Linked DNA regions of Elephas maximus indicus. The protein of the gene in region 2 interacts with the protein of the main gene of each other region in a pairwise test. Links are inferred from orthologs where the notes say so. Each region holds a gene or a part of one and is shown on either strand. Other genes may lie near its edges. The genes, in order: FRS3, TRIP6, SIK3 and NEDD9.

Region 1 (7,682 bases), on a different chromosome or scaffold from region 2:
TCCTGACAGCCCCATAGCACTTAGGTAGCCCTGTCACCTTATATTTAGGTCTTTGCTCCTAATGAACTGTATGGCTCAATATCACTTCCTGTTCTGACTTCTCTAATTATTTCATATACTCCCACCCCCACCTTCCAAATGAACTGTAAGCCTTTAGGCTAGGTACATTTAGGGGTTCAATAAATACTTAGCCATAGTCTCTACATTTGTATATTCCATTATTGGTTTCAAAAGTCGTTCATGTCCATTTCCTCATTTGGTCTTCAACTAAGCATGGTGGTGGGCAGAACAGATGCTGTTTCACCCATCATGTAAATGTGGAAATCCAGGCTAGGGAAGGGGTGACTCCCTCCAATTAGTGGCAGAGTGGGGCCTTGGATCCATGTTTCCTAACTTCTGGACTAAGGTTCTTTCCACAGTAAGTTGAGACATTAAGAGAGAGAGGGAAGACGGGGAGAGGGAGACCCACATCGCTGTCCTGTGGAGGGAGCTGTTGCAGGAGGGTGCGAAGCCCAGGCCCGCTGGGGGCCGGGCTGGTGTCCAGGTGAGGGGGCCCCAAGCTCAGAACTGCAGGACCCTGAGGAGACATGGCAGAAGGTGAGTGGAGCTAGGCTTTTCCTTTCTTACCCTTCTTTCCTCCCTACCTCATTGCCACCTGTCCAATCTAGAACAGCTTCCAAGCCCTCGCTCCCTAAGTTTGGAGGATCCTCCTTCAAGATAGCTGAGAGCAAGGATAGCTGACCCACTTCTGCATTTGTGCTCTGATTTGAGAGAGGTTGGGAAGGTCCCACACTCCACAACAGCTTCTGTTCCTATGCCTGAAACCACCCTCTTCTTCCCCTCTGGGTCTGCTTAAAACACAGACCCTCTAGGAGGGAGTATTTATGTGAATGAGTCTAAAATCAAAACTTGTATCTTGATGGGGCTGCAGGATTCCTAAAAAGAGAAAAGCGCCACAAGAGGTTGGGCACAAAGATAAACCACCTCCCAGGTGATGGAGAGGGGAGGAGGTGTGAAGTATAGAGAAACTGTTGGTCTCAGAGGAAAGAGTGAGGCTTTTACAACCTGAGCAGAAGTATCTCCTGGGTCCTCCTCTGGCAGGTGGCCTGAGTCACTGTCTGAGTTGGCTGGTGGGTCTGGCTCCCTGAGGGTGGGGCTCTCCCCTTTGTGGGAGCAGCCTGAGTTCAGTATTGACATTGTTGGTAGGGTCTGTGCAATGACAGTAAGAACACCTCCATTTTATGGGGCCATTGCAATGTGCCAGGCAGTGCTCAGTGCTTTACAGGCATTATTATCTCATTCAGTCCTCCCAACAACCAGGTGAGTTAGGTGATACTGTCCCTATTTTACAGATGGCCAAACCGAGGTTCAGTGAACATACACACAAGGTCATGCAGCTTGTCAGTGGAAGAGCCAGGTGTTGAGACCAGGCCTTTCTACTCCAGAGTTTCTGAAGCTCAATCTTTGGGGTCTCCCAAGATTCAGATGGAGGAGAAAGACGCCCACAGTTGAAGGAGAGGGCATATTGCCTTTCTGGTGAGTTTTCGAGCTGGCTGGTCCCTCCCTCCCCAGCTTTAACTCTCACCATTCCTCATCTTGCATTCACTACCCCAATGAGCCTACTTCCTCACTGCTCCCTACATAGGCCTTAAAGGACCACCTTACCAGGAAGCCCTCCTCAGCCTTTCTGGCCCAGACCCTCCCCCTTTTCCTGACCTTCAGTAGTAAGTTCAATTGGTTCCCCCAAGATTTAGCACCTAATGTTCCCCTCTTTTCAGTGTGTCTCTCTAAGCTCCTTGTCTAGTCTATAAATTCAAGGGCAGAGGAAAATCTTGTGCTTCTATCTTCGATCTATAATAATTTCATTGGGTAATTCTAACCACATCTCTTCAGCTCTCTGGGCAAGCCCTGATACACCCACAGTATCTGCAGGGAGTGGAGGAGTCGACCACTGAGGTAGAGAAGAGACAGGCAGGCCCTGATCTCAAGGAGCTCACCATCTATCAGGGGGAAACATGCAACCAGACAGAATGGGGAGCTCTCGGCAGGAGCTCTCGGCAGATGTACATAGTATCCTGGTATAAAATAACCAGAGCAAATTTTTCTGTAATGTTTACTCTGTACCAGGGACTATTCTAGCATTTTATATATTATGACTTCACAACAATCATATGAGGTACTTTCTGTATTCCCATTTACAGCTTAAAAAAAACAAACTGAGGTTAATTAACTTGCCCAAGAGCCACATAAGAAAACAAAGGAGAGCTTTCGGAGGAGGTTGCCTCTGAGAGCTGGGATGGATCCTAACGGCAGGCACAAGGAGAGTCATCGCCAAATCCCTGGCTTTGGGTCTGGGCCGGACTTTGGACCAACCAAAAACCAAACCAAATCCTTTGCCATCGAGTTGATTCCGAATCATAGAGACCCTACAAGACAGAGTAGAACTGCCCCAAAGGGTTTCCAAGGAGCAGCTGGTGGATTCAAACTTCCAACTTTTTGGTTAGCAGCCTAACGCTTAACCACTATGCCAGCAAGGCTCCACGATTTGGACCATGACAGTTACATTGCTTTGCAGCCCTGAGTCCCCCTTAGCTCCCTTTCAGATGTCCTGTGCCACCCTTCCTGGCTCCACACCCACCTGCTTCCTGCCTGTTCCGTCCCTCTGGCAGGTTTCCTGTGGAAGGATACTGGGATGGGCTGTTCAAACTCAGCGATAGGAGTAGCCACTTCCCCTAGTAGCACGCGGCAAGAGGGGCGGGGCGGGGGGGTTGGTGGCGAGTAGGGGGTCGGCAAAGGACAGAGGAGTATCTGGGGCCCCAGGAAGTGATGTGGACCCTATCTTCCCCATTGGCTCTAGTTTGCATGGAACTGTTACAGAAGCAATGCTCAGAAATCGGCCCTCTACCCCTCACCCTTCTGTTTGCTCCCCCTCACACAGGGCAACCTAACACCACCATGGCCTAGCACTTGAATCCACCTTACTAATCTACCATATTCCTTCCACAATTCCCCTTTACTCCATAAGAGACAGAGCTGAGCCCCCTCCTCCGTCCTCGCACAGGTGCGCCAGGGCTCAGGAGCTCGATCTCCCCAATCCATCAGGAGGCTCTGGGTACTGGAGGAGGATGGGAAGGTTTCCCCCGCACAGTGGGAGGGGGAAAGGGGAGGCGTCTGGTCCCAAAAGTATCCTCCCTTGTCTTTTCGACAGATTCCCCTAAGTTTTTTTTGGACTTCGCGGGCCCCACCCCAGGGACAGAGACGCAGTATGGCTCCTGTGTCCGCTGGGGCTCCCAGTCTAGCAGCCGAAAGTTTAGAAGAGAGGGCAGGGGCTACGCTGGGGCCTCACCTTCGCCGCGCGCCGGTGTCCGGGCGGTTCTGGACAGACCCCGCCGTCTGGCCCCTCAACCAGTCCCCACCCCAGGGCTCCAACGCCCGCCTCTGCCCGCCCCGATAGCGCGGCCCCGGCCCGCCCACCCCTCCGGGCTGGAAGAGAGGAGCAGCTCAGGGAGGGGCCTGCACTTGCAAACAGAAGGGAAAGTATTTGTGGGGTCTCGGGATGGAAAGAGTGCAGGCTGCACGGACCCCAGCCACGGCCTAGTGTCGGGACCGCGCCTCGGCGGGCGCGGAGCACACCCCCCACAGCCGTGTTCGTACCGGGTTCTCGGCCACGGGCTGAACCCACATCCGCGGCCCCTTCTCTAGACTCTCCCCAGGTTCCCCCAAGCCCTCCCTCAGGTCTCCTGTCCCCGCCCCCTTCCTGAGACCCTGCCCCCCCGTTTCCTCTCTCCTGTCTCCAGTGAGCCCTCCGCCCATTCTCTTCTCAGCCCCTTTCCTGCGTCCCTCTTCCCTGTCCTTTCTCCATCTGCCCCTCCAGCCCCCTCCGCTCTCCTTTGTGCTTCTCCCCCCGCCCTCTCCGCCCCACCAACTCCCTTGCTTTCCCGCTCCCGGGAGAACGTCCCGCCCGCCCTCTTCCCTAGGCTCCGCCCCGCTGCCGTCTGGCTCCTTCAGCGGCTGGTCGGGAGCGCCCTCTGGCGTCTGCGTATGCTCCCTGCTCTCGACTGCAAAGTCCTCCAAAGGGACCTTCTAGGCTGCGCGCCCGTCGCCCCAGCTCGGGTCCGCCCGCCCGCAGCGTCTCGTTGGTGCTGCCGGGTGACCTCCGACCCCGCGGCTGAGGGGCGGGGCGGGGCGGGGCGGGGCGGCCTTAGCTCCGGGCGGGCGGCGGCTGCTGCAACGGGACCCGGGAGCGGGGCCCGGCGCCGCCCGGGCCGCGGGGCGATGTGAGTCGGGCGCGGCGGGGCGGGGACGAGGCGGCTCCCCCGAGACCGCGCCGCGCCGCAGTCTCCGCTCGTACCGTAGGAAGCCCCGGGCGGGCGGGCGGTGGAGCCCCGGGCTGGGGGCGGGGATCCAGGGACAACGCGCGCCCCCTCCTCCACCATTCCTTCTCGACGTGTAGAAATTCCCTTGATTACCGTGCAATCTAAATCTTCCTCTCACTGCCCAGGAAGTCACCGCGGCCCCCTCCTCCGGTACAGCGGCACACCATCGCACCTCTGGGGACCCCCGGAATCCCCTTACTCCTGCAAATTCCTCTGATACGCCTGCAGGCCCACCATTCTCTCCTGGATGCACCCAAGCGGTTCCACCACCCGGAAATTTCTCTGGTCCCTCATATCCCCCGTTCTTGCACCATGCCCAAGACCCAAATCTTGCCCACATTCCCTGAAACCCTGTCATACATCCTGAGTCCCCCTGACCCCCTTTAACTCCCGCCTTGACCCGCACCTATCCCAGACTACAGCCCCCTTGCCCCCATCCCGCCCAGTGTAATCCCCCTCATTGGCCTGAGGATATGTCCTGATACCTCAGAGATGGGGAATAGAAAAGGCACCCTATAGTTAGTCTTGGGTTCATCCCATAATCCCTGTTGGTGATTTAAACCCCAATATTTTTACACACTTTACTCAGCCTGCTTCTTCCAGAGAATAAGCCAGACTAAGAATTTCGGGGGTCCTTTTACCTGGGAAGTTGTCCAAGGATGCCAGCTAGCAGGGGCCCTGGGAGTTGATATTGTTGGCCAGAGCAGGCGAGTAGGATTTCCAGGGTCTCCAGGCGCCTGGCGTGTCGACTTGTCTGCCTGCGGCTCACATGCCCTGAAATTTTGGGGTTTATTGTTATCATTATATTAAAATTTTAGGCCCTTCAGAGCTTGAGGAGCAGAATGTCAAGCTCGCAAACGTAAGATCGAAGGAGCCTGTCCTTAAGAGAAAGATGTCGATTTTATTGATTTTTGTCTTACACATCTACCTTTAGAAGTTACTTCAGCTAGCAGCCCCACAGTTTACAGATGTTTCATATGTAAAAACTAAACCCTTGAGGTGGGGAGGGGGGTGTGAGTGGGGGATTGACTTGACAGTGTTTCCCAGATACTTCATAGCAACAAAACAGACTAGAATATCGGTTTCCTGAACTTTAAACCAGTGCTTTCTTCAACACATTTCAGTGTCATTTTGAGAACGCTCTTCGTAGACTTAAAGTTCTCTGCAAAGGCCGAGTGGTGTTTTTGGTGTTGGTTTTAAGAGGATTCAGAGGGGGTCTAGAGGTGATTTGAAAGGTTTTGGGCTGTCCCAGACTTCAGACTCACTGATGCTAGGGGGATCTCTCCATCTCAGGGCCTCTGGGGCTTGGAATCTGTGATCCCATTGCCCTTTCTTCATTGGTGTTCCTGTTCCATCAGGACCTGGAACAGAGATTCCAGGACTGACAACCAAAAAAAAAACCCAAACCCTTTGCTGTAGAGTCGATTCCCACTCATAGCGACCATATACAACAGGTTAGTTTTGTTTACAAGGGTGGGGATGGGAGGTTTCTACTAACCTACTATCTCTGTCTCCTATGCTAGGTGAGCCCCAGGTGTGTCCCAGAGGGCTCCAGGTCACTTCTTGGCTGACTGCTTGCCATGATACCCCATCAAGGACGGGGAGAATAAAGTGGAGACTTTCCCCATGCCCCTCCCATGGTCAGCTCCCCGATGGCCTGGGTGAGGTAAGTGCTGTGTATAGAAGCTGATTTTTTGGAATTTCCCAAGTTGGGAGGAATGGAGGGTACAGGTCACTGGCTCATTCAAGGGAATTTTATTCAGAAGGATATCTAACTCACAGACTCACTTCCTGCATCAAGTTGCAACCTCTTAATTTCTGGTCGATGCCAGTCCATATGTTTGCTTGTTCCATTAGATCACTCAAGCCTGGGTGGGACCTCTTCATCCTTGGCACAGACCTCACTGTTGTCTTATAACCTGAGTACCGTAATCCTAGAGGGAAAAACCAAATAGTAAGGTCTCTGGTCTCTCATTCAGACAAAGAGGAATAAACCCAATATTTTTCTTTTTAATAAGACATACCAAATCAAGGTTATAAAAACCATGCTCTGTTTTAAATGTTCAATTTTCTGACTATATCTTTGTGACCGTAATATAACACCTCATTTGAAGAGAACCTCACAAAGATAAATTTGAGGGGGATGTTGGGAAGGTGATGAGGGAGGAAAAGAGTGAACTTAGATGATGTGGGATGGGTGGGGTTAAAAAAGGAGAAAAAGAAAGATACTGAGTCGAGTGGCTGGGACTCCCAGGTTACAGCATCTTTGCTGAATCTGGGTGAGGGCCCCAGGCTTGCGCCCAACTCCTGATGCAAATCACTTCTCCTGGATCCTTTTATCTGTGCTGTTCCTGCTGCCTAGGTTCCTTGTCATTATTATCATTGTTAGCTACCATCAAGTTGGCCCCCAACTCAGAGTGACCCCCGCACGACAGAATTCAACTCTCCTTGGTCCTGCACCATCCTCATGATCGTGTGCAGATCAGACTGTTGTGATTCGTAGGGTTTTCATTGGCTGATTTTCAGAAGTAGATCACTAGGCCTTTCTTCCTAGTCTATCTTAGCCTGGAAGCACCGCTGAAACCTGTTTAGCATCATAGCAACACACAGGCCACCATGGGTCAAAATCCTACATACTTCTCAAGATCCAGATCAGATGTGACTTCTGAGAAGTTCTCTCTGTTCTTCTCTCAGCATTAATCCTTAATGCATTCTAACCTGGATTGATGTTTATCCGATGTGTGTCTGGCCCTAGATTGAGAAAGTGAATTCCTTGGAGGAAGAACTGTGTCCTGACAGCCCCTTAGACAGAGCAGATGATCACAAGAAGTGGTTCTGTTGGCACTCCCCAGAGCAGAGCATTTTGTAGTGGCCCTTGACGAGCTGCCTGTACCTTATGTTTTTCCCTAGGGTGGGCTGTCTGCTCTGACACCATGGGGAGCTGCTGCAGTTGCCTGAACAGAGACAGCGTCCCAGACAATCACCCCACCAAGTTCAAGGTATCCACAGCTTCCTCCTCTCACGCGTTGCCTCAGCTTCCCTGGAGAAGGTGAAATAACAGGCTGAGGTTGTGGGCTCAGGAAGACTTCCTGAGTCAGGGTCTCTGAAATGGCCTGAGGAAAAGAGGCCCAGACCACTGCTGTTTTTGCAGCCCTTGTACTACCAAGAATGAAGAAAGTCTGTAATGGTAGCAAAAATAGTGCTTTTAGGGTGTCCACTCTTGTCAGCGTATCTCTGTAACTTTAAACCAGTTGCCATCAAGTCGACTCCAACTCATGGCGATCCCATGTGTGTCAGAGTAGAACT
Region 2 (7,720 bases):
TTGCCCAGGCCCCCTGACCTCACACTTGTAACAGCCAATATGAAAACTTCGATCCAGAGCAACAATTCGCACAGTCTCCTCCTGCCCTGGCTCAGGCATGATGGCCCCGCCACATACTGAGCATCGTGGAGCAAACTTCCTAGGGTGAAAGGGAACTAATGAGGCTATCAAGACCGGAGTTGAGGGGACTAATGATGGAGCCCCAAGAAGGTGGGATGCCGGAGGAAACAGGAGAGACCAGAGGTATGGTCTTGGATACTGGGGAAGAGAGGTATACCAAAGAGAAGGAGGCAGGTCCAGGGTTGGAAACAGGAGTAATCGATACTGGGGCATGAAACAGAGGTGAGGGAGATGGAAAGGGTTATCATGCTGACCTGTGGAAGTCCTCAATGCAGTGGATCTGGCTGGTGGCATCCACCGTGAAGGGGATGCCATCGAGGCCACGGTGACACACCACACAGGTGAAACAGCCAGGGTGGTAGGCCTTCCCCATAGCCCGAAGGATCCGGTCCAGGATGGGCTGGGAGCACATGGAGCACTTCTCCAGGGTGGCCTGTTGGGAAGGGGAGCAGGAAGGTCAGGGGACCCCATGGTAGCCCTTCAGGCATCCTGCCAGCCTACCCATCTATTTACCTAGCCTCCTGCATGTGATTCAGTGAAAGGTGGACCTGAGAGGATGAGTTCAAGTCCCAGCACTACAACTTACTGGACAAGTCATTTAACCCCTCTAAGCTACAGTCTCCAGTAAAAATGTCATCAACGATAATACCTGCCTCACAGGGCTAATGTGGGGATTTAATTTATTCCCTTAACTCTAAAATGCTTCACACTTGTAAGGAACCATTGTCTTCCCCCTCCAACAGGTTCTAGTTCTCCAACTTTGAGTCCTTTTCCTTTTTGGGGCTGGCCATCTGGCTCCCACCTATCTCCAGCTGCTGACTCCAGCCACCCAGCCCGAACCACTTACCACATAGCAGCTCTCACAGTACGCCCTCCTCTCCACAGCATAGAAATGCTGGCCCTGAAGCTGGGCCCGGCACGTAGAACAGACAAAGCAGCCAACATGGAAGACTCGGTCAAGGGCGACCACTCCGGCCCCATCCCCCACCACATCTTCTCCGCAACCCCCACACCGGCCTAGGGATAGTGGGGAAAAGGTCAATCTACACAGACCCAGAAGCCAGACCCCCACATCCTCTGCCTCTCCAGTATCACCTCCCCATGCTCCCACACTGCAGAGGCAGCTCACCAAAGTACTCCCCGCTGGGTGGGTGATTCATGTCATGCACCAGCTTCTTGGTCAGCCTCTCAAGCTCCTCCTCTGGAGGCTGGCTCAGGGGGACCTGGGAGGTGGGAATCAGGGGTTTGGTCTTACCTCTGGACTTCTGGCACTATAAAAATCCCTGTGTGTGACATGACATGCGATTCAACCCAGAAAGCCCATTTGAGAGCAGCTCAGCCCAGGACCCAGGGGAGAGCCTCGAGGAGACACCAGTGCTCTACCCCCTCTCTGGCCTCCCCCACACCCTTTGGGAATCCAGAGCTCTGACATCCCCGACCTGTGACTCTGCTCTAAAACCAGGACATTAAACACCATCCTCACCCCACCCACTCAATATCCAGTTGTCTATAAAATCCCAGTGCCGTGGACCTACCTGGGACCCGTACCTGCCTCCTCTTCCTCCTCCTGCAGGGCCAGGGACCCTGGCAGCCTCCTCTTTACCCCCTGGCCCTGGCTCCCGGTGGCTCCTATAGCCAGCCCCCCAGACTTCACCTCGGCTGGGAAGAGGAAAGTGGGGCCCCAGGAGGGGCCTAGAAGCCTGAGAGGCCCCCCGCCTGGGTGGGCCACAGCCTCTCACTGGTTGTGCCACCTTCACCTGCACAGGGAAGGCAGGGCCAGCAGGGGTGCTGGCAGTAGCATAGGAGGCCGGAGTGGGACCTCCATAGGGGGATGCTGGGAGCTGCAGGGATGGAACACCCCCTCCGTTCGGCTTCAGGGAGCCCGTGCGGTAGGCAGGGGGCTGAAGGGGCTCATAAGCCTGGGGAGAAAGAGACCACAAAGAGTAAGGAAGGCCCATTCCAGGTCACACATCTGTGGAAACCCCACGTGTGGCCCCAAGATGGGCAACTTTTGAGGAGACACTGCCCTCAGGTGGCTGACTACCTAGTAAGCTCTCTGGCCCAGGCTTCTTCATGCTGGGCGTACATCTCTCACACAGGAGTAGGACGGAGGTGGGTGGAATTCAGACTGAGAATCAATCCAGGGAAGGGAGCAGGCTGGAGGTGTGGGAAGCAGGGGACAGTAAGCAGGGTTAGGGAAGGGGAGGAGTCACCTGTCGGTCTGGTCGCCTTGGCACGTGACCACGACCCCCATCCAGCTCAGCCAGCATGCTGGTCAGCGAATCTATCTCAGCATCCAGACTTCCTGGGCCCAAGCTCCCTCTATCTAGGGGGAGCCCCTGGAGATGGAGCAAAAGCAGGGAGATGCAAATCACAACGTCTCCTCTGCCTCCCCGGGTCCCATTCACACTCGACTCATGCCCCCCACTTCCAGTATTCACCTGCGGGCGCTGGGGTGCTCCATGGGACCCCCCCCAGGCTGGCCCCCGATCCTCTGGTCCCCCTCCGGCCTGGTAACACTGCTCAGATGGGAGGGGGCAAAAATTGACTCTGGGGTGGGGCTGGAGTGCTGGGTTGAGGGGAAGAGAGACCAAAGGTAGGGATGGAGAAGACGAGGGGCGCCAAGAGGGCCCCGCCTTTCCCTCCTCCTCCACCTGGGGTCTGAGAATGGGGGCAGGCAGGACCTCCCAGCCCGCTTGGGGGAGGGGGCAAGAGTGGAGGGAAGAGGCGAGCGCTGGGCAACCGGCGGCCCCTACGGCCGCACCGCACCGGGGCTGCCTTACCTGCTCCGTGGGCCACCGGTGGCCCTGGGGGCCCTCGAGGGAACACTCTCCCCTGAGGAGCTCTGGAGGACTCCGGCTGCTTCGGGGGGAGCCAGGTGGGCTCCGACATGGCCTGGAGCGGGGGACCCCTCAGAGCCCCGGATCTCTGGCCTTGATCCTCTCTTCCTGCACCTCGTTTGGAACTCCAGGAAAGAAACTTTTTCTTCCTTTTTTTTTTCTCCCTTCCTTCCCAATTTTGGGGATGACCACGCCCCTGATGATGTCACCACATTCCTGGGGGAGGGTCACGTGGCCCCCTAGGCCCAAAACCACCAACCCTCCCAGAGTTGGCCCCTCCTGCGGGGCGGGGAGTGGTGTCCTGGATCCCGCGTTGGCTGCCTCCAGGTCGCCCGAATCCCCCAGCCCCACACCCCTTGCTGCCACTGGCTCCGCGCCCCCAAGTCCTGCACGTGGCAACCTCGCTGTCGGGACAGCTCCGGCACCCCTGTTTTCCACATGCCGATAAATGCTTCTCCCTTTCCCAAGGGCACATGGCTTTCTTGTCGACCCACCTCCCATTCCCCTGCTGCCGGGCAGTGCTCAACCAGCATGTAGTTTGTTGATCTTTTATTTACGTTCAGCAGAGTTAGAAAAATAAAACAGAACGAACACATCACAACCTCAGGGGTCAGTGAGCCTGTCAGCGATGAGAGGGAGACTGAGGTAGCCTAGAGTCGCAAGAGGAGAGCCAGCCCCTCCCAACAAGGCACCAGTGAAGGGAAGGGGGGCTGCTGACTGCCCCCCCCACAGTGGAGACTGGGATGCAGAGCTGCCCTACGTTAGTACATGGGGTCCCACTCACAATGGGAAAGGAGTTGGCCCGCCCAGAATCCCTTGACATCTCCACTGGGCTCCAGCCCCAAGTGCAGGGCAAGTGGAAAGAGGTGCTTCCTCTCCTCGACATCCACTAATCAAGAGGGGTTGCTGAGCCTGGGTGGGCCCTTTCTACCCACCATCAGGAATGGGGCTCCATTAGGCATCAGAGATCAGTGCATGTGACAGGAGTGACACCATGAATGAGTAGCGTGGGGCCCAGGTCACGGCTCAGGATCTCCAGCAACGCCAGGTATCGGAGGTATCGGGCAGGATCAGCGGGTGGCCGAGGCAGGTACAGGAAGGTCAGGGCAGTGGCAGGTCCCTCCTCCTCATCCCCACCCTCCGGCCCACCAGGCCCTCCACTTCTGCTGCGCCCCTGCTGGGCCCGAATCAGGGCGTTGGCGCTGCATGCCAGCGCCTCTGCCTCAGCATCTCCCCACCCGCTGTTCTCAAAGTACCCTTCCTCTTCCAGCTCTCTGATGCCAGCCCCCTCGCCCCATACCACTTCCTGCACTTCAGCCCGGATCCTCAGCTGGCTCAGCAGTGCCCGGAGCCGCTCCTCAGCCGCCCCAGGGGCCTCCTGAGGCCCCAAGCACAGGAAAATCCGGAGACGAGCACTGTGCCAAGCAGGCACCATGCCCAAAATGGTTGCCATCTGCAGCAGGAAGAGGCCACAGACGTCCACATAGCCGGGCCCACCCCGAGGCCGCAGCAAGTTGAGGGGCCACACGTCCATGTGGTGTGGCTGAGAAGTGCCCCCAGACCCCCGGCTCAGCCGCTCAGGGGGCAGGGCTCCACAGGCCCGAGCCAGAACCACGTTCTTGTTCATCTTGAGGGCATCCGCTACGGTGGCCACATAGTCCTGGGGACTGAGAGCCCGGGGGCTCCCAGGAGCCCGAGGTGGAGAGAACAAGGTGCTCAGGGCTGGAGGCCCCCCCTCCCTAGTGCCATCAGTAGGCTCCGAGAAAGCTGGGTCTGTCAGGAAATGGTCCTGAGGTGGGGCATCATCGTAGAAACCCAGGACCAATGTGTTGGGCTTCATGCCACCTGGGAGCAGAGGCAGGAAAGAACAGACAGGAATCAGACTCACAGATTGAGCTTCTACCACACAAGGATGCGCCCACGGACACACTGACAATTAGTGTGTCAGCCATTAAGTATTACATTTACACTGTGTGTGGGTTCTCCTGGCATTATGTATATTTGCATAATGACTTTTTCGTTTTCCTAAACACTTTCACATGCATTTATCCACTTATCTTCATCACTAACCTCCTCCTTTAAATAGTCAAAGCTCGCCTCACTTGGAGAATACGCACTTCAGGGCCATGGGAAGTAGGAACCTGTTTATTCCGCATTTTTAAGCAGCACACCTTTTTCATGATGGGAGAGTCTGACACCCTGATTAGTCAAGTTCATGGCCTCAATCCCCAGGGAAAGCACCTCAGATCCTGCTATGACATGAGACGAGCTAGGCTTCACAGCCTGTTCCTACTCCTGCAAAGCCTCGGAATGTTACGTTCACAGCACCATTCCTGAAGGAACTTACAAGGCCCCAGGTCCTGTTGAAAGCACTGGCTTTGAACAGGTTAGGGGATTTTTGCTGTTTTTTTTTTTTTTTCCTGAACCTCTGCTGAAAATTTGCATTTCTAACAAGTTCCCAGGCCATGCAAATAATTCCACCCCAGGTATACTGAATCAGAATCTATGGTTTAACAAGATCCCCAGGTGACTCTTACATATAATAAATCTTGAGAACCACTGCTCTGCTAGTGGTTCTCCGAACTGGTCCCTAACCAGCAGCATTAGAACAGCCTGGGAATAGGTTAGAAATGCAAATTCTCAGCAGGGGGCAGAACCCCCCACCCAACAAAACTGACCCATTGGAACCCTGGTTTTAACTCATTTAATCCTTGAAACAACGTTGTGAGGTAGGTAACACTTATTCTTCCATTTTACACATAAGGAACCTGAAGCACAGAGCAGGAAAGTAACATTGCCGAAGTCTCCCTGCTCTCGTAGGTACCGGGGCCAGCACATGAACGCGGCAGCCTAGCACCAAGCCAGTGTGCATGCGAACCACAACGTCCCAAGTCCCTGCCAACAGCTCCCTGTTTTGTACTACTTCCACAGTCAATGTGGAATGTGATAATCCCTCCCTTTCACAGGGCTGCATTTTCAGAAGGCTCTGAAACCACTTCCAAAACTCCTCCTCATGAAACAAACGGGCTGCAAAAAACCTACCAGTGAATCAAATTCTACGCGCCAGGAGAATGCACTACCTAGAGGAAATCCTTTCCCTTTTACTTGAATCAAGATACATTTCCTGAAAGTAGTGACCTCTTGGAGCCCTGGTGGCGCGGTGGTTTAAACATCTGGCTGCTAACCAAAAGCTCGGCAGTTCAAATCCACCAGCCGCTCCTTGGAAACCCTATGGGCACTTCTACTTTGTCGTATAGGGTCGCCATGAGTCGTAATCAACTTGACAGCAATGAGTTTGGTTTTTTTTTTTTTTTTTTTTTGGTTTAATAGCCTCTTTGCAGGTTTCCTACAAGGGTGGGGCAGAGGAAAGACCAGACTCTCAGATGCCCCTGGGCTATCTAACGATGCACCTCCCCCCACCCTACTGCAGATGAAACTAGACATCCCCTCCTGAGCATTTTCTGATGTGCACTGAGCAAAGCAATGTCCAGCACTGTCGGACATCAGATCCTAAATGGAAAAGGTGGCCACAGATATTGAGCACAAATTTGGAGGAATGTGCAGCCCAAGGCTAGAGGCCTCAGCATTAAGACACACTCACAAAGCTTGGGAACCTTCCCCATGCCCTTGGCATCCTCTGTGCTCTGTGGTCTCCGGCCCACGTTGCAATGCTCCCCACTTCTCCAGCCCATTCAAGGCCTGGCTGAGGTACCATCTCTTCACAAAAACTTTACGGGCCATATCAGTGCGTAGCAGCATTTGTTTCTCTGAACTCTGGTGCTTAGAAACCATCTGCCCTAGATTTGATAGGGCAGCCCCAGACCCAAATAATTACTCTTCTCTTGCCCCTAGAAGTACAACAGACTCATCAAAGCCTGGGCCCCGATTCTTGGTTCAGGAAAAAAAAAGTATCACCCCATCTCTAACGCTCAGCATCTTCTACTAGGCCTTATCATATACCACCATCAGCGTGGTTGTTATCTTTGAGCACTGCATCTTATCTGCACTAGATTCTGAGTTCCTTTTAGAGTTTGCAATTTGTGATTTACTCTCTGGGAGAGGGGAGTGGAGATTTAACGGGTCCACAAAGGGAGCTGGAGGAAACAGAGAGGAAGCAGCTCACCAAGGCCTGAGATACGCAGCAGATGCTGAGCCCCCTGGCGCACGGAGGGAGAGAGGGTGAGGTCCACAAAGGCCTTCACTTGGGCCCGGTCCACCAGGCTCAGCCATGCCCCATACTGCGGCTGCACAGGGTCCGAGGGCAGGGAGTCTGTGGAGAAGGTAGGCAAAGGAAGGCAGCCCATGTGGCCAAACCCCTTTACTTATTCCCAGACTCCAAATCCCAAATGAGCAGAAGAAAAAGGTCCAGGCAGGCTGTGGCAGGGTGGGTAGGTCATCTGGAAAGAAGTATGTCTGGGACACGAAGAATCCCTGAGACCAAGGAGGGAGGGAGAATGGGAATGTGAGCAGGAGGGCAACTCACCAAGGTCGCCCAGGGTGACGTGGCCCAGCACGTACAGACCCCCCTTCTTGAGCTGGTTGGCCAACCGCAGCAGAGGCAGGGAGCCCCGGGGGTTCCCCACCAAGAGCAGCAGTTGCGGCCGCCAGAACTTCACGTGGTCCTTCCGGACGTCCAACCGGAGCAGGTACTTGCGTACCTGGGGACATGGATGACATGTAGGAAGGAAGGGCCAGAAAGGGCAACCACTCAGCACCTCTCGGACAGGAATACAAACTCCAGCCGAGGGAAGAGGAGGCCC
Region 3 (8,046 bases), on a different chromosome or scaffold from region 2:
TTCTAAAGCATACACAAAGTAGTAAGGGTGATTTTTTTTCTTTTTAAAATTGTGGTAAATATGAAGTAAATATATATGTCACAGAACATTTGCCATTTCAGCAATCTTCACGTTCATGTACAGTTCAGTGACATTATTTTCATCATTATTGTTCAGCCATCACCCTTATCTGCTCCCATATTATACCATCACCCAGTAACGGTGATTTTTATGTTTTGCGTTACATAACAGAAATGACTGAATGGTTTCAGGGAAAAGAAAAATGTGGCCAAACTGAACAGGAAATTCTTGACCGAAAGCTTATTTAGCTTCTCTTAAGCCTTTTTAAGCCACCTCCCCAAGACATTTTATAGCAAGAGACTATGTAGTTAGTTACCTTTGGCTGCTCAGACCTGCTAGGTATTCAGGGGAAGCATTTGGACGTGACTAGGTTGGTCTGGGATAGAAGGAGGAAGGAAGGCAAAAGCCACATAGCTGAGGTGGCATTGAGGAAGGCAGCTCTAACAAAGAGAAGGCGCACATTCAGCTCACCAGGAAAAGCAGGGCACTTGGAGTGTTCAGACAATGTGTCTCCAACAGTGCCCTGGTTTCTGCGAGATGGCAGAATCTGTAACTGGCCAATACTTTCCTTCTTTGGGAATATGTGGCACATAAACATTCTACCTTGCTGCCTTTCTGTATATAGAATTTCTGAAAAATACTTGCTATTATACTGGTATAATATTGGTATAATGCCAGCTTCTTTTCAGAGCAGTAATGAGTTGTCTTTTTATTTACTTATTTTTTGAAATTTATTATTATTTTTTTTAGATGAAGGTTTACAGAGCAATTAGTTTCTCATTAAACAATATCCATATTGTTTTGTGACACTGGTTGCCAACCCCACAACATGTCAACACTCACGCTTTCTTGGCCTTGGGTTTCCCAGTTTCAGCTTTCTTGTCCTTTCCTGCCTTCTGGTCCTTGCCCCTGGACTGGTGTGCCCATTTAGCCTTGTTTTGTTTTATGAGCCTTTCTAATCTTTGGCTGAAGGGTGAACCTCAGGAGTGACTTCTGTACTGAGTTAAATGGTGTTGGGGGCCATGAGTTGGGTCATTGTTAAGTGAGGGGTTGGACTATCTGCAAAATCTTGATGACTCCAAGAGTCTATGGAGCAATGTTGTGAGGCTGCAGTTTTCTGCTGGGTTACTGGTCAACTGCCATGCAGACAGGCTAAGCAAGCGTTAAAACGCATTGAAGAGTTAATGTATTAACTCCCTATATCACTCTCAGGTAGGACCTTAGCTCCTCAGAGATTTTATATCACTTCTAGAAGTTTCTAAGGGCCTATTTGGAGCCCCGGGGGCGCAGTGGTTAAGAGCTACGGTAAGCTATGGGTGCTAACCAAAAAGTCAGTTCAAATCCACCAGCCACTCCTTGGAAACCCTATAGGGCAGTTCTACCCTGTTTTATAGGGCCGCAATGAGTTGGAATTGACTCAACAGCAACAGGTTTGCTTTTTGGGTTATCATCAGGAATGCCTAGGTTTGCTCTTTTCAAAGTCTGGAAATAAGACACAATGACATTACAAAGGAAAAGGTCTCATTTTCATCTTTGAGTCTAGCTTTTGTTTTTTCAGAAGAGGGTACATTGGTTATGGTGGCTGACCGAGCTGTGCAGTGGCTAGCTCTGTGCCTTCACCCTGGGCTACAGAGGCCCTGAGAATTCAGCCCTTCAGCCACTCCTCTAAGTCTGCAGCAAGGTAGGAACACATCTTCCAGCCTCTTTTCATAAGGACACCAGTACTCCTATACAATAAACAGTGAGCCTCTTTTTGGTGGTATTTACAACCAAGGCCATCACAGGTACTTAATTCACTTTTGTAGTCAGTTGTTCCTCATCAGTACACTTCAGCTGCTTGCTTCCGTCCGGCTCTTAAGAGCTCTCAATGTCCTCTTGTTCCGTGGGTCTAAGCTGAGCTCAGTTACCCTGGGCTTCTGGAGAAACCCTTTTCCTACTAGCTCCTAGCTTGACAGGGATTGTAATTAATACACTGGGAAAGATCTCAGGCTCCACTTCCTGGGTTTGAATAGCTCTATGACCTTGGCCTATTCTCTCAATCCCTCTGTGCCTCATTTTCCTTAAAAGGGGATAATATAATCTCATTTCACAGGGTTGCTGTGAGTTTTTGGTGAGTTAATTTACGTATACTGTTTAGCACAGTGCCTGGAAAAATGTTGTTATTATTGATTGTGAGTTACTCCAGGGCAGCTGTTGTGTCTTATTCGTTTTTGGATTCCCTTTCTACATTTCCTCCCCAAACCTAACTCAATCCTTGGTACTCAATACATTCTAATTGAGCGCATACATACAAACAATTTTCTTTTTTTTCCCTGATGGTTTTTTTGAAGGAGTCCTGGTAGCGCAGTGGCTAAAGCACTTGGCTGCTAACTGAAAGGTTGGAGGCTGGAACCTACCAGCCACTCTACGGAAGAAAGATGTGGCAGTCTTTGGAAACCCTATGGGGCAGTTCTACTCTGTCCTATAGGGTCACTATGAGTCGAAATCGACTGGACAGCAATGGGTTTGGTCGGTTTGGGTTTGGTCTTCTTTGATCAATCCCCTCCCCACTTCTCTATATTCTTTTCATAAAAGAGGACTCTTCAGCAAGTCTTCACCCAAATCTCAATCCTACATATCATCTATTAGCCTCAATCCATATATGCAGGGAGCACCAATGGCAGAGCACAACATAACACATTCTGGTCATTATTAAGAGACAACAGTGATCTGCCTCTTCTCTTTGGAAAGTAGACCAATGCTCCATTTCCCAGTCCTCTTTGTTTTTGACACCCTCCAAAGAGTGGCAAAAGTTGTGATGCTTGATGTTCAAACTGTCTCTGTGAGTGGAGAGGAGGCTGGACAGTCACTAGTGAGAATGGTTTCCATGCTGCTTCTGCAGCCTCCAGAGTGAAAGAGTCTTTCCTTGCCTTTCCAGTCAGGTGGGGTTTCTTTCTCTGGAGGTTCCTCCCATGAAATGGTAAAACTGGGGTCCAGCACCATGGTTGGTCTCCGCTAGAGGCAGATGAGTGGGGCCATGAAGTGGTTAGAGGAGTTGGCTATGTCACATCATTGATCTAAGATTGAACGACCTCAGCTGAGGAAAGAGAGGGCTTAACCAGTGCAAGAAGCTGAGAACCAATTCATCCTTGTCCTGCTTTGCTAGTAAAGGAGCCAATTAGTGTTAATTGTGTTGGCAATTTGGAACAGCTAGCAGAGAATTGGCTCAAGACGATCATGGGATGACTCCTCTGTCCCATCCTGGCCTCAGCCATTACTCAGTCAGATGGAGAACCATAGGGCTAGAAAACGTCCCTTGGTCAAAGAGAGTAAACATGCACTCTCCTTCTGGTCCATCTACAGTGCCCTGGTGGTCAGTTTTTGACATTGTACATATGGTGACCTGGCAACACAGCTCTGCCACTGAGGAACTCAGTCTATTAGGAGACAGATGTGAATGGATCAAGGCTAGAGTGAGGGAATACACTTTGTTAACTTTGGAGTGTTCACGATTTCCTTTCTCCCCCAACCTGCCAGACAATCTTCTTATTGCCAGCTCAATTTCCTACCCCCATCTAAAGCAATTACATTAATCTGCTTAATAAAGGGAGGGGGAAGCCTGGGAGCTAGTGAAAGCCTCTGAAAGCTGTGGGATGCCTAACAGGGGAGGAGAGAAAAAGGAATATGAGATTTATAGTCAGGATTATGAATTTGATCACCTTTAATGTCCTTGGAAAGTCACTAGTAAGGATGGAATTTTAATCTTATTTTTTGCCTAATGGGCTGTTATTTAAATATGACGTGGCTCACTGGACAACTTGCACCAGTGTTTCATCAGGGTAATACAAGCAACAGAAACAGTATACAGGCACTTTGGTAGACATTTCGCTATATAATTGTTGAGGGACGGAGGAGGTAGGAAGGAAAATGACGTACATTCTTTGGCCCTCGCCTACCAAATGACTGGAATGCGTGTTTGGGTTGGTTTCTTAGTGCTTGAACACGCAAGTCCTAATTTCCCCATTCCCGTTTATTTGGTGACAGCTAGAATGATTACATAGGGTGAGCTGGGTTTTGTAAGAGGAAGGAATTTTACTGAAGAATTCCCCTGCTTTGCTACCAACTTGGTTGGTTACAGTTACTTAAATACCATAGCTATTCCTGCCTTTGTGGCCTCAAGGGCTAAAGTGGGACAAGGCTGGTATTTTTGGTGATGAGGAAATACTTTTGTTTTAAGGGAGGCTGGGTGATTGCTGAACTGGGACAGAGGTCACAGCAGGGGTCAGATTAGCGATTCCAGGGGCGACTGGCTGGGGGGTGGGCTTTGGGTCAGGCATAACGCAGCCCCGGACTCGGGAAGCGCTGCAGAGGTCTCGGACTTGCTGGCACACTGCGGGTTCCCACCCGCCTCATCCCCAGAGGGGGGCACCCGGGAGCCAGGGCCTGAGGAACTAGGGCCCACGCGGGAAGGTCGAGCTCGCCGGTGAGGTCACGGTTGCCATGGTTCTTGGCAGTGACGCGCGTCGGCACGTGACGAGTGGTTGCCATGGCGCCGGGCGCCCGGCGGCGCGGGCGCTCCGCCTCCCGGAGTGACGTCCGTCGGGCCCCCCCTTGCCTTTCCCGCCCCCCCGCCCCCTCCCCCCAGCCGGCTCCCCGCGGCCCCGGAGGTTTCACTGCACAACAAGATGGCGGCGGCGGCGGCGAGCGGGGCTGGCGGGGCTGCCGGGGCCGGAGCGGGGGGAGCCGGGCCGGCGGGCCGCCTGCTGCCTCCGCCTGCCCCGGGGGCCCCGGCCGCTCCCGCTGCTGTGCCCCCGGCGGCTGGCGCGCCGCGCCCCGCAGCCCCGGCCTCTCGCGGGCCGATGCCCGTGCGCATCGGTTACTACGAGATCGACCGCACCATCGGCAAGGGCAACTTCGCGGTGGTCAAGCGGGCCACGCACCTCGTCACCAAGGCCAAGGTAGTGGCGCGACGGGACCGGGGACGTCGGAGGGTGGTGCGGGCAGAGGGATCCCCGGCGCGGAGGCTGAGGGGGTCGCGTCGGGCTTGGGGCAGCGGGTGGGCTTGGGGCATCGGAGCGCGTCGGGACCGGGGCACGGGTAGGGGGCTGTCGGCGGCGAGTGGGGACAGGGGTGGCAGACGGTGGGCAGAACCGGCGGCCCGAGACAGGGCGGCTGTCCGGCGGAGGGGCAAAGGGGGCCCTGGCCCGGGACCTGGGAACTGAGGAACCGGGAGGGGAGGGGGCTCTCAGGGCTGCGTGGACGCTAGCAGAAGGCGGGGTTGGGAAGAAGGGCTTTGGAACTTTCAGGGAGTCAGGAGACAGTAAGCTAGAAGACTCTGGAACCAGTAATTAGGAAATCAGAACAGAAGGAGGGCTTGGGTATGTGAAATGTGGACCAGGAAGACGGGGGAAAGAGAAGGGTAAACTGGCAGACCTGGGGTTACGAGGGAAGCAAGGACGGCTGGGACATGTGCAGGGGGAGCACGGTGGGTGCAGGGTACTGGGAGATATGAGGAACAAGGTACCTCATGATAGGGACACAAATCAGCATTTGGTCATCTAAGACTGATAGGGGATGGGAATGGGAGTTTGAAGGGAGACCATATTATTGGTAGAGGCAATGAGGAAAATGGCAAGTAGGGGGAAAAATTACTTTGCTTCTCTTCAGGAAGAGGACTGGATCCTGGCAATACCTGGGCTTTCTGGAATAGAGGCCCAGGGGGGGGCCTTAGGTCTATGGTAGCACTGGGTAATCAGGAGTTAAATAATTTGGGGTGGGCTAGATTGCTGGTTATTTTTAGTTGTTGGAAGGTCTCAATTCTGGGCTTCATACACCCAAGGTGGGCCTTCGGTGGTGAGGGGAAAGCATTGAAACCGAGGAGGCATGTGAGGAACCCACAGGCCAGAGTGTCAGGAGGATAACGCTAGTTGGACCCGTTGGTTCCCAAGGGTTTTGAGGAGCTGTAGCAGTGAAATTGCTCAAGGTCAGTCAGGAAGCCTTGTGTATACACACATATACGTTTATTTCTTTTTTGAGGAAATATGGATAGTATTTTTGGACTTGTAGGCACCATAAAGCCCATTTTTACTCTAAATTTCTTTCTTTGGTCCATGTCTCACTTGACTGAATACATTTAACGTAGTCATTCATTATATTTAAAACTGCAGTTTGCGTTTTTCCCTCTGCCTCACTAATGAAGAACCTTCATAGCTGCTGCTGCTTCCTATCAAAGCCACATCAATTCCCCTCACCTCTTCAGCCTAGCCTCTGGTTATTATCACCTACCTTGTTTTCGCTTTTTTGACAACAGTTAAATCGCTTGTTTTCAGAAGCCAGTGACTTATCTAAGTCTTCTCTCCTTCTCACTTGCAACCTGAAGTTCCTTTTTCTCCCCCTTTCTGTCAAAGACTACAAAGGGCCCCTCTTACCAGGGTGGCAGGGTGGGTGGCTGTGGAGAATTGATTGGTCAGTTTCACTTCCTCTGGAGGGCCCCCTTCAGCCTTTTTGTCAGTTTTTATCAGAGGGCCTGAAGCCTGCAGGTCAGAACTGAAAGAGATACCAAAGTCCAAGGTTCTTGACATTACCCTCAAACCCTGAAGGGGGTAGACTCTGGTGCACACCCGCCCAGTGCCCCCACCCCCACCCCCTTGAGTTTCCAGTCCTGTTTACTGTTAACCAGGCTAAGCTTAACATTCACAAACAAATCTAGTTGTCCATGCCTTGTTTCTTGTTTTGGTGTCCCCCCCCCCCAGCCGCCCCCCTTCTAAATAATCACGTTGCTCCTGTGATTATTTTGCTCCGACCTCTGGGGGATGGACTCCATGAACTTAATTGGTTGCTTGGTTTATGGTATCTGTAATTTAAAGAATTTTGTGTCTTCCAGCCCTTGGATACACCAAAATATTGATAGAAGCTTGTGACAGACATGGTTGAATATTTTTGTAAATGTAATTGCTAACAGTTGATTCTTGGCTTTCTATATGAAAGCGACATTTCTATCTTCAGTAGTCAGCAAAACCAGTGGCTAATTATGGCTCGTCTGCCCGCTTTCTAATTTTCCAGTTTTTTTTCCCCCCTCATAGCGTTTCTCTGAGGCTTTGGTATCCTGTAGGACTGCAGGATTTTCAACGTTGGCTTGTTTATAAACGGGTGTCACTGTTTATGTTGGTTTTTATCTTTGATCATTTGTGGTGTGCAGTTAGTTACGCAATTCCTACGTATGGAAATGTTCAGCCTTGAATGAGACTGAAACGACTTGGACAATGAGTTGCATGTGCTATGGGGCCACACCAGCGTTCATTTCTGTTTCTGTAGCTGTGTGCAATTTCCTAGTTACAGTTAACAAGTGCCCTATCTTTCCCGGCTTAAATTACTCTGACGACATGAGTGAGGCTTAATTCACAAGGAGTTGTCATGTGCTCTGGGTGAACGATGAGCATGTTTTAGCCTGCTCCATGCTTATTTGAATCCACTTGGGAAGGGGTTCTCAAATGCTGCCAGCTTAGATGTGCCTAACAGCTGTTGACATAGAGTGTGATAACCTATTAAGGCCATGATTTGGTTATATAATGGTGGGGAAGGTGCATAGGTGCTAGAAGTTGCCGAAGCTGCTGTTTCTGTCGCTCAGTCAGGTGGGTAGGTTTTTCTACCCATGCACTGCAGCATTTATTTTACTTCTGCAGTCAGGTTACTTGGAACCAAAGAAAGCTATTTTTTTTTTCGGTCTGTTTGCATAATTCCATTTCTTTGGTTTTGTCTGTGTTTTAGAGGGATTTTTTTTTTCTTCTTCTTTTTTCCCTGTAGGTCACTAAATGGTGTAGATTTATCTTATAACCGTATGTAACAGTCATACTCTGGAAATTCAGATGATACTTGTTTTGACTAAATGAGGTTGGGTAATAGGTATTTTCTGAACATCAGAGGTAAATTTATGATCACCTTTTCTTACACACACTACCCATTCCAAGGACTAAGAGGCTAAAGTAAACTTCATTTATTGACTGAGCT
Region 4 (7,817 bases), on a different chromosome or scaffold from region 2:
ATAAGGGTTCAGAAATGTGGCCAAGTCTCAAAGGGCTGCTCAGCCATTGGAGACCAGCCAGACTCAGCACCTACAAGGTCTCCCTCCTCCCTCTCCAGGACAAAGGAGGTGGAGCCTTGGGCCTCTGCTCAAACACATCTGTACACCTGCCCTGCAATCACCTTCCTGGAAAAGAGCAGCAGCCACCCACCTACCTCCATACCCTCAGGAGCCACAGCCTTCCTTGGCAAGTGTTCTAAGGCCATCGGCCCCCCCTCCCCCACTCAGAACAGGCTCCATATATTCAGAGAAGCTTGTAGAAAATTCTCAAATCGATTAAGCCCCCCATACATAACTTTTTTTTTTTTTTTTACATAACTATCACATAACCACAGACTGAACACCTTCTAAGAGAGATGGGATATTAAGTACATACGACAATGACCACAGTATTTACATGAACAAATAAAAAACCCGCAATGAAATAAAAATAGACTAGCTGTGTGCTTACAAAAAAGGTTTACCCGAAGTAACAGCTTACATTCCACAGTTCTCAAGATTATTGTAAATACATAGCTGGCTGGCCTGAAGTTGTATACATTAAGTGCAAAATGAGTAGAGATTTGGTTGTTCTTTTTTTTTTAGTTATGATCCCTGAAGCAGCCAAACCAGATAATCCAGTTTAAAAAAAAAAAAAAACTAATGGATCTGAATTATAAATCTCTCAATGAACATTTTAAATTCTGACTGTGCTAAGTTTATAGTGTACAGAGCAACATGGTGTTTAAGAGGTAATTCCTGACTCCAGGAATTTACAATCTAATAATTACCTGGTTTTACTACCAATGTGGCTCAAATTAAACAAATAAGTGCCAAAGGTACACTTCACTTTGCTTTGTAGATTTACTGTCTAAAAACATAAGAATCTATCCTACAGGAATGCTTGGGATGAAATAGTCTTAAACTTCCTGGAAGAAGTAAACCTCAGTCACACAGAACATTTTAGGGGGCGGTCACAGATAGCTCTTTCTCTTAATAGTGGGTCAGATCGAGAGTTCTGGAGCCAGGTCACCTGAGTTCGAATCCTACCAGTTTTTAGCTGTGTGACACTGGGTACATCACTCAGTGTCTCTGTGCCACAATTTTCACATTTGAAAATGAGTATGATAATAATGCCCACCTCATAGAGCCATTGGGACAATAACTGTATTGTCAAAGTAAACCTCTATTAATGTTATTCATCACTCCTCTCCCTATCGACAGAGGGGTTGGGTTTTTTTTTTTTCTCTCTCTCTTCCTGTGTGCCATCTCCTCCACTTAAAATGACAAAATTCTCTTCTGAAACAAAGTTTTCCATTACCATCTAGAGAGCAAACAGGCTTTATGAGAAAGGAAAAGTAGATTCCTCCAACTAATGGTTCATTTTAGAGTCAGCACAAGGTGAGAAGGCTGGACTCTCTCCCTTTCTTGCTGGCAAAAGAGTCCACGAGCTAATGAATGCTAAAAATTGTGTATTTGCACTGTTAATATTATTTTTTTAAACACTGGTAAAACTTGGTAAAGAGAGCAGGTTTTCTCCATGAAAGCCAGTAGCAGTTTTACATTACAAGCTGCCATGATGTTTTCTTTCCATAAGAATAAAGCTAACCAGGATGAGGTCACTGAATAAAAGTGACTTTAGGCTTCGTGCCTGCTGCTGTCACTTTCTAGACTGCAGCCTTTGAGGTTACTTTCAGCCATTCATACTTCCCAATAATAAATGTATGAACATAATTTCTCTGTTTTCTGCTTGCCAGTTTATATGAAATGAAGGCAGTCAGCAAGAGGGAGAGAAGGAGCAAAAATATCGCCCCAGGCCAAGCAATAACTGGTCTATAGGGTCACTATGAGTCGGAATTGACTCTATGGCACTGGGTTTAGTTTTTTTTTTTTCTGAGTAAGGAACTATGGAATAGGGGGTGAACCACGTCCAGAAGCAGAACTTTCTTGCCAGGTAGAAGGGTTTGTTTCTGGTTGCATTGTAAAGTCAAATCTTGAGGACTTCAGGATTACCCATCTTCTGATCTTCCCTTTGGGAAAGCTGACAACTGGTATCTGTTTCTTCACAGAGTTGTAACCTTTCCAAAGAGAACCACAACTCATGCACTACAATAAAGGCTTTGGACGTTGAGATTTACAGCTTTTGAACAAAAGATTTATCACTGAGTTAACCAGTGGCTATTAGCCAGAACCAAGTATTTACAAGCTGACATTAAGAAAGGATGGGCCCTTAGCTAGGTAATTCAGAAGGAAAGCCAAGTACCTGTAGCTCCCAGCTAGCACAACCTCAGAGGCCAGACAGGTAATGCCAATTGTCAATCCAAAAGCATAGATATCATGCCAAAATCTATTTTCATAACAGCACTTTTGTTTAAAAGTGATAGTACTTATGTCTATCCTAGAAATATTCATCAACCCAAGGAAAAATCACACCCAACTCATTGCTATCTACATCGGTACAGAGTAATTCTATCCCTGGAAACCACTTGTCTCAGTTAGATGGGGCTACTTAAAACAAAATGGATATGCTGAGCAAGTTGTAATTCTATTGCCAAGAATAAACACAAAAATAACAGTGCAAAACCCATGGGAAAATAATGCTACCGAAGTATTATCACATTCTATGAGCTCCAGTCACAGTAAAAGTGCCCATACCCGCCAGTCCATTCAAATGCCAATAAAAGAGTTTTCAAGAAGTGGCTAATATTCATTTGTTCCGGCATTCAACTTCACCTAAGAATGTCAAAATTCTCCATCATCAGCTACATAACCGTACCTGGGGCTTTTAATTTCAGCCACTCCAAGGATATATGGCAAACTGCTTCCCAGACGAAGCGCAATACGCTAAAGTAAAGCCTGAAAAGCTGTACCGACCCAGCAGTGGGATTCCTCCCTCATTCCTGCTCCCCAGGACAGGGGGAGCCCGGCCCGGGAAAGCAGGCGAGATCTGAGCCAATACCTCCTGCGCTTCCAGCTAGAGACCCTCTGAACACACCGCGGTAGATGGGTTCTCAGTGTTACTAACTCCTCACCAGGTCCTTTCCCTGGCAACTTTCAGAGAAGATGGGTCCTGGGTCTCAGAGATTAGGTGTCTGCCTGCTTGCATGTCAACCAAAGTGACTTAGACCCATCTCAACTCTCCCGGGTACAGAAAGGCTCCCTTCGGGGACGTGCCGCAGCGGAAGACAGGCAGGCAGACAGACACAGACAGACACCCACACTCGCAGGCACAGCCTAAGGCTTAATAGGAAATATCTCTTACCTTATATTTCATTTCGGCAGCGGTGAATGGAACCGTTTTCCTAAACTAGTACGACAGCATTAAGGACTGGAGTGTCTGTCCCTCCATTGAGTGTTAAATGAAAAGGAGAACGGTCGCTTGATGGTTTGCCCGCCCAAGCCCGCCGAGCCCTGCGCACAGCTAAGTTTCCAAAGCGTCTGAGCTCACTGTTTTGACCAGAGCAGGCGGATCACGGGCTCATTTGCATGCTGTCCGGCTATTGGCTCGCGCAGCAAGGTAATACTGTGCCCGCCCATGGCTTAGCTTCTGAAAACTCCTGACAAAGAACTTGTAATGTGGTAATTCCTTTTCACGTTTTGAAAAAGATTGGAAAATAAAACAGAAAGGGGAGAACCTTCCCAAACCTAACTATCCCTCCACCCCATCAAAAAAAGAAAAGAGAAAGACTGAAAGCAAAGCCAAGAAAAGGGAATAAATGCTTTTTAAGATTAACCTAAATTTTAAAGAAACTGCTTCACAAAACAGTCTGCCAGTCCCGCTTCCTGTGCCTTGGCAACTCTTTCATAAACCACTTCATTTCAAAGCCAGTCACCTCAAAATCTCTACATGAAACGAACTCTGGGAACAAAAGCTGTTCTGTCTCCAGGCCCCTTTTCACTAACCACCCCTGCTGATCTCTCTCTCTCTCTCTCTTTTTTTTCTTGGTGGCTGTTTGCTTTTTTTGTTCTTTTCACTGTTCAAAGTACTTCCAATGTCAATCTGTAACGAGTGGGAATACAATCTTCCCTCAGTGAAAAGCAGCTCACCAGCTTCCCTGGCTTGTTCTCACGAAGGCCTCCCCGAGTCCAGCGTCACACACGTTTGGTGACCTTCACTGGCTTGGCTTAGGATAAAGGTTCCATGTGACCTCTCCAATGGGGTTGGCCGGTGGACGCACTATACATCATCGGTGCCCACTGCAAGCTGCTTTCTTTGATGGCTTGGTTTTTCTAGCTCCAGCTTTGAACACGGCTGTTTTTCCTGCTGACCTCTCCGCTGAAGATGACCCATTAACCCACCAACACTTATTATCCGGGGAACAAAAAATGCCCACTGTTTGATGAGCCTGGTTAAAAAGACCAAAGCACAGAACCTTCGGTTCAGCTTCATGATTTCTGTAGTGAGTCTCCAGACTCACACAGGAGAGGACAGAAACGGTCACCTTCAGCAATTCTTCCGAAGGACAGAGTGCTGAGGGGAAAATTCCTTCTCACTGGCCTCGGGACTGAGACTTGGTGAATCCAGACAATAGCGCTCCTGGAAGGGGATGGACTTCAACCAGCTATGTGACTTGGATGGAAAATCAGCCCTTATTTTTTTCCTGATCAAGTTGTATCTGAATAAGTTTTTTTTTCCCCCCTTCAAATCCCCAATGGATTAAAACTCTACTTTTATGATTTAAACAAAAAGAAAGAAAGAAAAGAGGAGAGCAGCTGGCCTAGGAAAATGGTTTCCTGATAGACGGTTCCCATTTAGTTAATAGATGAATGTGGCAGAGATTCCTGGGACACAGCCCTTGGGCAGTCCTAATGGGGTGGACACCCGCCTTCGGCCCTCTCTCTGCGACTGTTCTCTGCTCCACCCAGCCTTGTTTTCCCTCATTTGGCCTCAGTGATTCTGCAAGGGCTCTCTGAGCAGAGATTAAACACCAGCCTATTGTGCTGCAAGGGTCTTCCTAGCAGTACTGCAGGCTTACAGGATATTCCTTCATTTGCAGGAAATTGTTTTTGGTGTCTGGCTGGATAAACAAGAACAATTAGTCGAAGGCCTTTCCATCTGAAAGATGAGTCTTGTGAGCCTCCAAGAAATCTAGATAACATTCCTTTGGTTTAGTAAGCAGTAGAGCTGAATCCTTCCCCTGTTGTGCTTGCTGAGGACTATTGAGTATGTGAACACTATCCCATCCCATGTTAAGATTTTACAGTAGTCCCTCAAGACATAGGCTAGGGCTTTTGGTAATTTCATTCTCTAGCTTTAAAGCTTAATTCCCGCCAATGGTCAGCCTGCTTCCCTGCTTCTGTCCTGTGTAGTAAGAACCACCAGCAGCTCATTTCAAGAAGGCTGGGTCAGTGTATAGCTAGCTACAGAAAGAAAAGAACCAGGGCATTGGAGTCAGATAAACCTGTGCTGGACTCTGAGCAAATTTACTAATTTCTTTATTTTGAAGTCCCTAAAAACCCAGCCCAACCCAACCCAACCCAACCCAACCCAACCCAACCCAACCCATTGCTATCAAGTCAATTCCAACTCATAGTGACCCTATAGGACAGAGTAGAACTGCCCCATAGGGTTTCCACAGATGATGGATTTAAACTGCCGACATTTTGGATAGCAGCCAAGCTCTTAACCACCGCACCACCAGGGCTCTTTTGGAGTCCCTGGGTGTTGCAAATGGTTAACTTGCTTAGCTGCTAACTTAAAGGTTGGAGATTTGAGCCACCCATAGCTGCCTCAGAAGATAGGCCTGGTGATCTGCTTTCAAAAAGCCACAGCCATTGAAAATCCTGTGAGGAGCTGTTCTACTTTGAAACACATGGGGTAGCCATGAATTGAAATTGACTTGGCGCCAACTGGTTTGGTTTTGGTCTCAATGCGACTTAAGTAATCCTGATATTACTTTATTAGTGTCCTTTAACCTCTTCCTTCAAATCCCTTGGGGGAAACACAAATTTCTCTCAATGAATAGAGAAACAGGGTCCCCACCACCCCTTCCTTAGCTGAGATATTGGATGTAAAGTTGCTGTTTAAACTGTGATATGTAAATACTCTCTATTGATTTATGTAGCAGCACTAGGGCTCCCATGGGCACCCTCGTACAGCGGGCCAGGCCAGGGCACTGGGGCTCAGGCCCTGCCCCCCGTGCTCGCCAGCACTTTCTTCCATGGGCTTCTTGACCTCTCAGCCTTGCTGCCTGTCTGCTTGTCTGCCAAGGGTCTATCTTCCCAGATGCTCATACAGGCCGGAGCAAGGGAAATGACACTAGATGCCCTCCAAACAACCCTTCCGCTGCCACTGGGCATTGGCACGGACATAGAAGAAATCCAAGTGGATGCTAGAGAGAGAGATACTTCTGTCCGCAAGTTGGGAGGAAGCCATGTGGCTGCTTTCTCACTATGAAGAGAAAAGTCACACAGCCAGAGCATGGCAGGGCAGAAAGCGACCTTGGACATCATCGAGTACAACCCCTCACAAAGAAGACAAAACTGCTGCTCAGAGAGCGTGAGCACCTTGCACAGGGTCATACCAGGTTGAATAACAATTCCTGCTGTAAAGACCCCACTGTCAACATCAGTTTGTCATATGTGGTGGTTTGTGTGTTGCCATGATGTTGGAAGCTATGCTAGTGGTATTTCAAATTCTAGCAGTCACCCATGGTAGACAGGTTACAGTGGAACTTCCAAACTAAAACTAGGAAGAAAGGCCTAGCAATCCACTTTGGAAAATTAGCCAATGAAAACCTGATGGATCACAGACTATTGTCCAAGACTTTGTCTCACTTCGGATGCGTCGTTAGGAGGGACATCATGTTTGGTAAAGTAGAGGGAGGGCCAGTGAAGGTGAGGGAGACCCTCAATGAGATGGATTGACACAATGGCTTTAACAGTGAATTCAAACATACCAACAATCGTGAAGATGGTGCAGGACCAGGCAACTTTTTGTTCTGTCATACATGGGGTCACCATGAGCCACAGCCAATTCCACAGCAATTCACAGCAATAGCTGTAGTTCAGTCCTTTATGGTCTCTTCTCTGACCTCTACCAATAATCTGGTTTTAGTTTCTCTGCCTGAAATCTCTCCCTGCTTTAGAGTCCACATTGTTGTTGTTAGATGCCATCAGATCAGTTCAGACTCATAGCAACCCTATAAACATCAGTACCTATTTAATTTCTAAAGTACAGAGCCAATCACATGCTACCATGTTTAGAACTTCTAGTGACACTTCAATGCCTTATAAAACAAAACCCAGACACGTTGGCATGGTGTATAATCTGAGCCTACCCTCCCCTTCTGTACTGTCCCCCACACCCTACACTCTTGCCACACCTGGGGACTCACGAACTCGCAGACAGGTGTGCACCTTCCTACTTTTGCATACACCCGTCCCTCTTCACGAATATTGTCCCCTCTCTTTTCTGCCATCTAGCCTCCTTTCCACACTAACTCTTTTCTGTATCTTAGCCAAGAACCCCACCCTGCCCACCAATGCCTCCCTCCTTTTACTCCGCCCCATTGTCCTTTGGGCATGGGGGGTCCCTACACTGTGGAGACGGCACAAGTTTCTGCCGCCCATTCACACTAAGCCAAGTGTCGCTGTACTGAGTGCAGCCCTCTACCCACTTCCTGCTGCCTCTGCCTTCCAGCTGAGACTCTTTGAGGTGGGTTTTAAGTGCTAAAATTTAGTGTCTTAGACCCCTTACAGTTCTCAGAAAACTGTGACCGTCAAAAATGAGATCCACTGTGAAAGAATGAATGTAAAACCATGCCACTGGTAGGCAACTAAAGACCTAGCTAGATCTG

What was found.
Region 1: the proteins of TRIP6 (region 2) and FRS3 interact in binary tests that used the Homo sapiens proteins (3 or more experiments, as listed by UniProt). The two-hybrid records come from large-scale screens. The link is inferred for Elephas maximus indicus from reciprocal best matches to the Homo sapiens genes TRIP6 and FRS3.
Region 3: the proteins of TRIP6 (region 2) and SIK3 interact in binary tests that used the Homo sapiens proteins (3 or more experiments, as listed by UniProt). The two-hybrid records come from large-scale screens. The link is inferred for Elephas maximus indicus from reciprocal best matches to the Homo sapiens genes TRIP6 and SIK3.
Region 4: the proteins of TRIP6 (region 2) and NEDD9 interact in binary tests that used the Homo sapiens proteins (3 or more experiments, as listed by UniProt). The link is inferred for Elephas maximus indicus from reciprocal best matches to the Homo sapiens genes TRIP6 and NEDD9.

Annotation. Positions count from the first base shown.
Region 1 is NC_064819.1:106,208,050-106,215,731, reverse strand, and holds the start of FRS3 (fibroblast growth factor receptor substrate 3), read left to right. Parts: upstream 1-4,194; 5' UTR 4,195-4,277; intron 4,278-4,301; exon of another isoform or gene 4,302-4,352; intron 4,353-4,361; exon of another isoform or gene 4,362-4,501; 5' UTR 4,502-5,892; coding exon 5,893-6,042; intron 6,043-7,286; exon of another isoform or gene 7,287-7,309; coding exon of another isoform or gene 7,310-7,375; intron 7,376-7,682. Other genes in the region: PRICKLE4 (prickle-like protein 4), read right to left, coding at 470-577, 1,066-1,197. UniProt on the Homo sapiens protein: Adapter protein that links FGF and NGF receptors to downstream signaling pathways. Involved in the activation of MAP kinases. Down-regulates ERK2 signaling by interfering with the phosphorylation and nuclear translocation of ERK2.
Region 2 is NC_064830.1:92,227,101-92,234,820, reverse strand, and holds the start of TRIP6 (thyroid receptor-interacting protein 6), read right to left. Parts: upstream 3,263-7,720; 5' UTR 3,013-3,262; coding exon 2,904-3,012; intron 2,690-2,903; coding exon 2,562-2,689; intron 2,460-2,561; coding exon 2,334-2,459; intron 2,040-2,333; coding exon 1,656-2,039; intron 1,344-1,655; coding exon 1,250-1,343; intron 1,138-1,249; coding exon 968-1,137; intron 554-967; coding exon 375-553; intron 140-374; coding exon 19-139; intron 1-18. Other genes in the region: SLC12A9 (solute carrier family 12 member 9), read right to left, coding at 3,922-4,805, 7,084-7,230, 7,444-7,618. UniProt on the Homo sapiens protein: Relays signals from the cell surface to the nucleus to weaken adherens junction and promote actin cytoskeleton reorganization and cell invasiveness. Involved in lysophosphatidic acid-induced cell adhesion and migration.
Region 3 is NC_064835.1:9,375,426-9,383,471, reverse strand, and holds the start of SIK3 (serine/threonine-protein kinase SIK3), read left to right. Parts: upstream 1-4,699; 5' UTR 4,700-4,724; coding exon 4,725-4,997; intron 4,998-8,046. UniProt on the Homo sapiens protein: Positive regulator of mTOR signaling that functions by triggering the degradation of DEPTOR, an mTOR inhibitor. Involved in the dynamic regulation of mTOR signaling in chondrocyte differentiation during skeletogenesis.
Region 4 is NC_064819.1:54,871,838-54,879,654, forward strand, and holds the start of NEDD9 (enhancer of filamentation 1), read right to left. Parts: upstream 3,470-7,817; 5' UTR 3,293-3,469; coding exon of another isoform or gene 3,281-3,292; intron 1-3,280. UniProt on the Homo sapiens protein: Scaffolding protein which plays a central coordinating role for tyrosine-kinase-based signaling related to cell adhesion. As a focal adhesion protein, plays a role in embryonic fibroblast migration.